Linked DNA regions of Callithrix jacchus. The protein of the gene in region 1 purifies or fractionates together with the protein of each later gene. This does not show direct contact. Links are inferred from orthologs where the notes say so. Each region holds a gene or a part of one and is shown on either strand. Other genes may lie near its edges.

What was found. The genes of interacting proteins can lie anywhere in the genome.
Region 2: the proteins of LCK (region 1) and SH2D2A purify together in Homo sapiens (co-immunoprecipitation; 3 studies listed by IntAct, with this or other methods). This does not show direct contact. The link is inferred for Callithrix jacchus from reciprocal best matches to the Homo sapiens genes LCK and SH2D2A.

Annotation. Positions count from the first base shown.
Region 1 is NC_133508.1:68,884,580-68,888,324, reverse strand, and holds the start of LCK (tyrosine-protein kinase Lck), read right to left. Parts: upstream 2,466-3,745; 5' UTR 2,389-2,465; coding exon 2,152-2,388; intron 1,854-2,151; coding exon 1,772-1,853; intron 1,606-1,771; coding exon 1,515-1,605; intron 1,283-1,514; coding exon 1,184-1,282; intron 1,034-1,183; coding exon 930-1,033; intron 732-929; coding exon 582-731; intron 212-581; coding exon 59-211; intron 1-58. UniProt on the Homo sapiens protein: Non-receptor tyrosine-protein kinase that plays an essential role in the selection and maturation of developing T-cells in the thymus and in the function of mature T-cells. Plays a key role in T-cell antigen receptor (TCR)-linked signal transduction pathways.
Region 2 is NC_133519.1:17,210,912-17,214,556, forward strand, and holds part of SH2D2A (SH2 domain-containing protein 2A), read right to left. Parts: coding exon 3,601-3,645; intron 1,020-3,600; coding exon 873-1,019; intron 681-872; coding exon 393-680; intron 1-392. UniProt on the Homo sapiens protein: Could be a T-cell-specific adapter protein involved in the control of T-cell activation. May play a role in the CD4-p56-LCK-dependent signal transduction pathway. Could also play an important role in normal and pathological angiogenesis.

The sequences.
Region 1 (3,745 bases):
CACCTCTGCAGCCCCTCCCGTTCCCCTCTTCCCAGGCAGTCCTGGAGGCCACACTCACCCATCCACACCTCCCCGAACTGTCCAGCCCCCAGCCGCTCCACCAGCTTCAGCGTCTCCCTGGGAACCTCCCACTCATCCTCCCACCAGGGCTTCTGGGGCTTCTGGGTCTGACAGGGGCGGCTCAGCCGTGTGCACAACCCATCTGAAGCATCTGCGAGGACAAGGGAGTGGGGAAGGTGGTCTTGTATTGACACCACCTCCGCCACTTCTCCAAGCCCACATCCAGGGGAAGTGGACTAGCAAAAACCACCTCCCCCACTTCTCCAAGTCCCCACCCAGGGGAAGTGGACTAGCAAAAACCACCTCCCCCACTTCTCCAAGCCCCCTATCCAGGGAAAGTAGACTAGCAGGCAGGTGTGGGGCTGTCACCCAAACCCTTGGGGCCGTAGGGTTCCACGGTTCCACACCTCACCCACTGCGGGGAATGGAGGAGCGCATTGAAAGATGGTTGGGGGACACCCGAAGGGGACTGAGGGAAGATGGGCTGATAGGGCACTGGGAAGGGGTCCCGCCAGGCTCACTGGTGTAATGGCGGACCAGTTCATGCAAGCCGGGAAAAGTGATTCGCGGGGAGATGTAGAAGCCACCGTTGTCCAGATTACGGATCTTGTAATGTTTCACCACCTCTCCCTGGTTCTGGTCAAAGTCCCGGACCGACAGTGAAAATGATCCTGAATAAATGAATGGATGGATAAAGGAACGAAAGAACGCAGAGTCTGGCCCGCCACCACGGCCCCCACCTCAGGCTCACCCCGCGCGCCCCACTCCGGCTCACCCCACGCCCCCACCTCGAGCTCACCCCCTCGCCTCCCTTTGGCTCACCCCGCGGCCCCCACCCCCGCGCCGGGTCGAGGCCGCCGCCCGCTCACCCGCGGTGCTCTCGCTCTCCCGGATGAGGAAGGAGCCGTGAGTGTTCCCTGGCGCCAGGAGCTGCCGCTCCGCATCCTTGCGGCTCAGGTTCTTGAAGAACCAGCTGTGCAGGGCGGAAGCCAACACAGGCCATCGGCTGTTGTCGAATCTTCCTCCGTGGCCCTCAAGCCTTCACCGCCACCCCAGGCCCACTCCCTGCTCCAGGATCCCTGGATCTGCTTCCATCCCCCCTCCACGACGGGACCCCACTCACGGTTCGGGCTCCAGGCTGTTCGCTTTGGCCACAAAATTGAAGGGGACGAAGCCTTCCTGGCCCGTGGTCAGGGACTGCGCCTTCCACCACTCGCCGTTCCTGCGCCACGGAGGCGGGTCAGTGCGGCCCACTCAGCCGTTGATCTGAGGCTATCCCTCAAAGACCCCCCAACCCTGAAGCCAGCCTCCCGAACCCTGGCTCCGCACTCCTGAGCCTCGAATTTTGTCCCAAGGGCGGCCACCCTAGCCAGTCAAGGGCCGCAGGAGGGCTGCGGTACCGGAGATCCCCGCTCCCTCACGGACTCCCCAGAGCAAGGTGGTCAGGGACTCACTGCTCCAGGATTCGGAGCTGTTCCCCTTTCTCAAAGCCCAGGTCTCCGTCGTGAGAGGGCTTGTAGCTGTGCAGGGCAATAACCAGGTTGTCTGTAAAGACAAGCGGCATCAGGGAGAACCGGCCTGAGATGGGCAGGAAGCCTGGAGTTATGGGGCAGGCGACAAGGAAGGCAGGACAAGGGAGAGAGTAGGTGGGGAGGAGGTGGAAGCCGACAGCGAGGGATCTTGTTTTTCAAGCCCTGCTGCCTGGGGTCACCTTGCAGTGGGGAGGCCGGCGGATTGGAGCCCTCGTAGGTGACCAGTGGGTCCCGAACCTCAGAGCCGTTTCGGAAGAGCAGCTGTGGGGTGGGGGATGAAGAGTGGAGTCAGAGAGCAGAAGACTGGGTCAGACCCTGGCCCCCTTCCCCTCTGCTCTCAGCCTTTCCGCCTGGTTGGGTCTTATCCCTGAATTGATCAACTGCTTGCTGTGTGATCTTAGGAGAGTCCCTTTCCCTCTCTGGGCCTCTTTTCCTTTCCTGTATTCCAGGGGAGAGGGCCGCTCTATTCTTTCAAGGGCCTGTATCGCTGGTCATTTCTTCCTCCTGGGTTGCATGGTCTACCCAACTCCCTCACTAAGGCCCCTGTCTTGCCTCTTACCGTGGCCTTGCCATCCAGTGGGACTATGGGATAATGGCAGTTCTCACACACATCGATGTTCTCCATCCAGTCATCTTCCGGGTGTGAGCTGCAGCCACAGCCCATGGTCCCTGAGGGAATGGAGAAGGGGGCTGAAGGGGCTCCCCCAAGATCTGCTCCCCCAGCATCAGACATCATGGGGCCTTGCCCTGGAAACTTCCAAAAGTACCTGAGATCGTGAGATCCTGGGATCCCCATTCACCAGCCACAGAAAAGGTAAAACAGGGGGTCCCAGCTCCAAACCGGTGCTCCCTCTGAGCCCTCAGGGTACAAGTAAATTCACACAGGCCCCTGAGCCCTAGCCCCACCCTCCCACCTGGGATGGGCAAACTGCCACAGGCACCTTTGTTAGTCTAGTTACCCACTTCCTGCCTCTTCCCCCTCCCTTTCCCTCTGCTGGTACCAGTGTCTGTAGGGAGGACTACCTTCTGAAGATGACACACACTTCCCCAAGCCTGGGGGAGACCTCACTCCATCAGACTCTCCCTTACTGGAGAGATGTGCATGCCCCACCCACCTCCTTTTATAATTCCCCTGTCTAGCTGAAGAGGCTGAGAAAGAGACTTCCACTCCCAAGGTCTGCCATCAGGCCCCGCGCTCCCCACACAACCCCAGAGTCAAGTCACAGTGTTTCTTCAAACATGGGCCTGCTCCTCCCCAGCACAAAACCTCCCAGTGGCTCTGTGGGCCATAACTCTTTTTGTTTATTTGCCTGTTTTAGCAGTGGAACTTTTTTGTCTGATGAAATCAAGCAGAACTCCATAGATAAGGTGATAAAAAGTGGGCCTGAAGCAGAGTGAGGGCCTTGCTTTGAAGCTCCTGGAGTCCCCACAACTCCTCCTTCTCTAGCGCGGCTCCTTAGAGCACTTGGAAAGCTCTGTCCTCGAATAAAGTTTAATGTTTCGTGCATTCCAGACCTCGCATATCAAGATCAAATCTACCTCCAAAGTCCATTCCGCTACACAAACACTCTCACACACACACACACACACACACACACCTTATATACACACACACCCTACACACACACAGGCACCCACTACCCCACCCCCCACACAGAGGCATCCACACTCACACACACAGAGGCAGGCACACACACACTCTCTCTCTCACACACACACAGGCACCTCTACCCCACCCCCCACACAGACACATTTACACTCACACACGCAGGCACACACACACACACACTCACATACACACAAACACCCCCACACACACACATTCACACACAGACTCATTCCCCCAATACACAGGCACCACACACACACATACTCACATAAACACATACACTCATCCCACCCACAAGTACACACACACACACACACTCACACACAGGTATCCACACACATAGTCACATACACACCCTATACACACAGGCACCCACACCCATGAACACACACACCCACATACACACACATACACAGGAACCAACACCCACACAAATGCACTCATCCAACACACATCTCACCCTAGGTTCCCCCTCCCACACACACATTCATACACACACAGGCACCTCCACACTAACACAAACACCTACAGTCACCCCCACACA
Region 2 (3,645 bases), on another chromosome or scaffold:
AAGGCCACGGGAGAGAGCCAGAGAGGCATGGGGTGGGGTCAGCCCCAGGTGCGTCTGAAGAGGGCCTGCAGGACAAGATGGGTGCAGATCAAAAAAGTCTCAATGCGGGGGGCTGAGGGGAATCCTGCCCGGGGGCCTCTGTTTTCTCTGTGAGGCAGGAGGACATGGGGGCTTGACAAAGATGAGGTCTGAGTGACTCTGGGGAGAAGACGGGGGAGTCTCTGGGCCTGGAGAAAGGAGGCTGGCACCTGATCATTCTGTCCTTCCCACATCACCTCACACCTCTGTTCTTCACCCTGACCTGGGCATCCACTCCCAACACCTTCTTTCCCTTCTCCGATCTACCTGCAGGGAGACCTTCTTGCACCCACCTTTCCTGGCACACCCATTACCTGGCCTCCTGGGACAGGCCTGGACCGACTTTTCCGTAGGACAGGGTGCCCAAGGGTGGCGGGCAGGCCCTCATCTTCCACCTCCACATAGATGTTGCTGGGGGCTTCCCCGGGGCTGCCCCGGCCCATGGCGTAGAAGGCTATCGGTTCATCAGGCTCGTTGTAGATAGGGTTGGGGGGCCTGGGGGGTGAGGCCAGGCAGCGGCGTGGAGCAGGGCTTGTGTAGAGTTCTGCGGGCAGCTGAGGTTTGGCGGGGATGGGAGGCTTGGGCCTGAGTGGGTGGGAGGGCTAGGAGAGGTAAGGCCAGGGAAGAGTGGAGCGAGGGAGGCAGGGTTAACACCCCAGCAGGATTAAAGCCCTAGCCTAACTCTCAGCTGAGCCTCTGCCCTGCTAAGCCCCTCCTCCTCCCTGCTGCCTGCACCCCCCCCCCCCCCCCCGCAGGCCTCTCCTCCCCTTTCCTCAGCCCCTTCAGCCCAATACCTCTTTCTCCCCAACCCCCTCTTTCTGCATCAGGATTGGGGCCTGCCCCTGCTTGATGATCGGGCTGTACTGGGGGTTTGGGTCCTGGCTTTTGCTTCCAGTGTCTGATTCTTTGGTCCTCAGGGAAAGTCCTGAAGGCTCAGGAGTCTGCTGGGAAAGAAGGAGGTCTGAGGGACTTGGGGGGAGACATTGGGGAGGAGGAGGTGATCAGGAGAACAAAATCATCAGGTCTAAGTGGAGGATAGGGGTGGGATGGGCACAGAAATTTGGCCTGGGCTGAGTTTTCTGGATGAGGAATTGGGGATGGAGATGGCGAGGAGACCCTGGTGTGGGTGGAGGCAGTTTGGTCTGGTCACAGGCCATATCTAGCGTTAAACTTGTTCTTTTTTAAGATAGAGTCTTACTCCGTTGTCCAGGCTGAAGTGCAGTCTCAGCTCACTGCAGCCTTGACCTCCTGGGCTCAAGCCATCCTCTCGCCTCAGCCTCCCAAATAGCAGGGACTACAGATACGTGCTGCCACACCAGCTAATTGTGTTTTCATTTTTTTTTTTTTTTGAGACGGAGTTTCGCTCTTGTTACCCAGGCTGGAGTGCAATGGTGCGATCTCGGTTCACCGCGACCTCCGCCTCCTAGGTTCAGGCAATTCTCCTGCCTCAGCCTCCTGAGTAGCTGGGACTACAGGCACGCACCACCACGCCCAGCTAATTTTTTTGTATTTTTAGTAGAGACGGGGTTTCACCATGTTGACCAGGATGGTCTTGATCTCTTGACCTCGTGATCCACCTGCTTTGGCCTCCCAAAGTGCTGGGATTACAGGCTTGAGCCACCGCGCCCGGCCTGTGTTTTCATTTTTTATAGCAATGAGGTCTCATTATGCTGCCCAGGCTTGGTCTTGAACTCCTGGGCTCAAGTGACCCTCCCACCTCAGCCTTCCATTGTTGCAGGATTACAGGGGTGAGCCACCACACTTGGCTGCATTAAACTTAATTGCATCTGGAACGCAGGGCCAGGCCAGATTCCATTTGTGCCTGTGGTTGTGAAAATGCAACATGGCTTCACATGTCTTTTTTTTTTTTTCTTTTTCCTAGCTATCCTTTACACTGTAGGCCTTACACGTCTTTAGCTGAAAAGTTATTGGCATGGGGACCAATCTCTATGACAGCTGTGCTTGTGTTTATTTATGCATGCTGGTTAATTTATGGAGTTATAAATGATTTTCTTTTTTTTGAGACCAAGTCTCACTCTGTCGTCTAGGCTGGAGTGCAGTGTCGAGATCTCGGCTCACTGCAACCTCTGCCTCCCAGGTCCAAGCAATTCTTCTGCCTCAGCCTCCCAAGTAGCTGGGATTACAGGGGCCTGCCACCACACCCGGCTAATTTTTGTATTTTTCAGTAGAGACAGGCTTTCTCCATGTTGGTTAGGCTGGTCTTGAATTCCCGACCTCAGGTGATCCACCTGCCTCAGCCTCCCAAAGTGCTGGGATTACAGGCATGAGCCACCACCAGGCCATAAGCTAAAATTTTTAAGGGCAGAGACCACCTCAGGAGAGAGGATCCCCATGTGGGATGGTTCTGTCTCACAGAGGGTGTGCTTTTAGCTCAGCGTCCGTTAGCCCTTGGTCCATGAATGCTGTGCCCATACCCACTGCCACTCTAGGCTAAGGTCACAGGGCTTTTCTCGTGCTCCTGCTATCCACCAAGTGCACTTCTCCATCGGGAGGTGTACTGCAGGTATACTGTGGAATCCAAAGAATTATTTTCCCTGCCCTAACCCCCTCCTCTCTCAGTATGTCCTTCCTGAATAAAGAGTGACATCTCCACCCTGCTGCCAAAATAGCATCTTAGGAGTCAGCCTTGAGGCCTCCACCTGCCTCCCGACATGAAATCATACACAAGTCCTGCTCCTTCCACTGTCTGCTGTTCACATCTGTGTACTTTTCTCCACGCACATGGCCAGCACCCTAGTTCAGGCTCCTGACTCCTTTCCCTGCATCGTCTTGTCCTTCCAACCCACTCAGTTTTGTTCCTTGCCGTTTTCCCAGTGCCCAGAATGGCCCCTCAGCACTGCCTGGACTCGTGCACCACTGCCTGCTAGGCTAAATGGTACCCTGGGTTTCCTCTTGAATCACACTCTCTACACTGGAATTCTATTACTTGTCCGTTTTTGCTGCTGGAAAGTAAGCTTTGTGAGTTTGAGACCCACCTGTCTGTCTTGTTCATGGGTCTATTCTCAGGGCCTGCCAGCACTTGGTAGGGCCTAAGTACTCTGTAAATATCTCTTACATTAAAAAAACAAATGACTAGGCTGGGCGCTGTGGCTCACGCCTGTAATCCCAGCTACTCTGGAGGCTGAGGCAGGAGAATCACTTGAACCCGGGAGGCGGAGGTTGCAGGGAGCAGCGATCATGGCACTGCACTCCAGCCTGCGCAACAGAGAGAGAACAAAACATACACAAAACCCCAAATGACCGTGTGTGCCCCTGCTCTCTCCTTGCCCCTCTGTCTCCGTGTGGCTGGGCTGGCCTCTCAAGGACGTCCCCGCCCCCCACCAGCATTCATGTTTCTCGAAGGGCCTCCCACGAAGATGAAGGTGCCCGCGTAAGTGAGGCATGGCCGGTGGTGTTTCAGCATGAGAAAGTGCCTGGTGCCGCGTCCTGCGCCTGGGCTCTGGGTGGGAGGGGCGCTGGCCTGAGACCCTGGGCTCTCGGGTCAGGGTCTGGGGCGCGTACCTGGCGGGCAAGGGGCTCGGTGAGCGTCTCCCCGTAGGGGCTGAG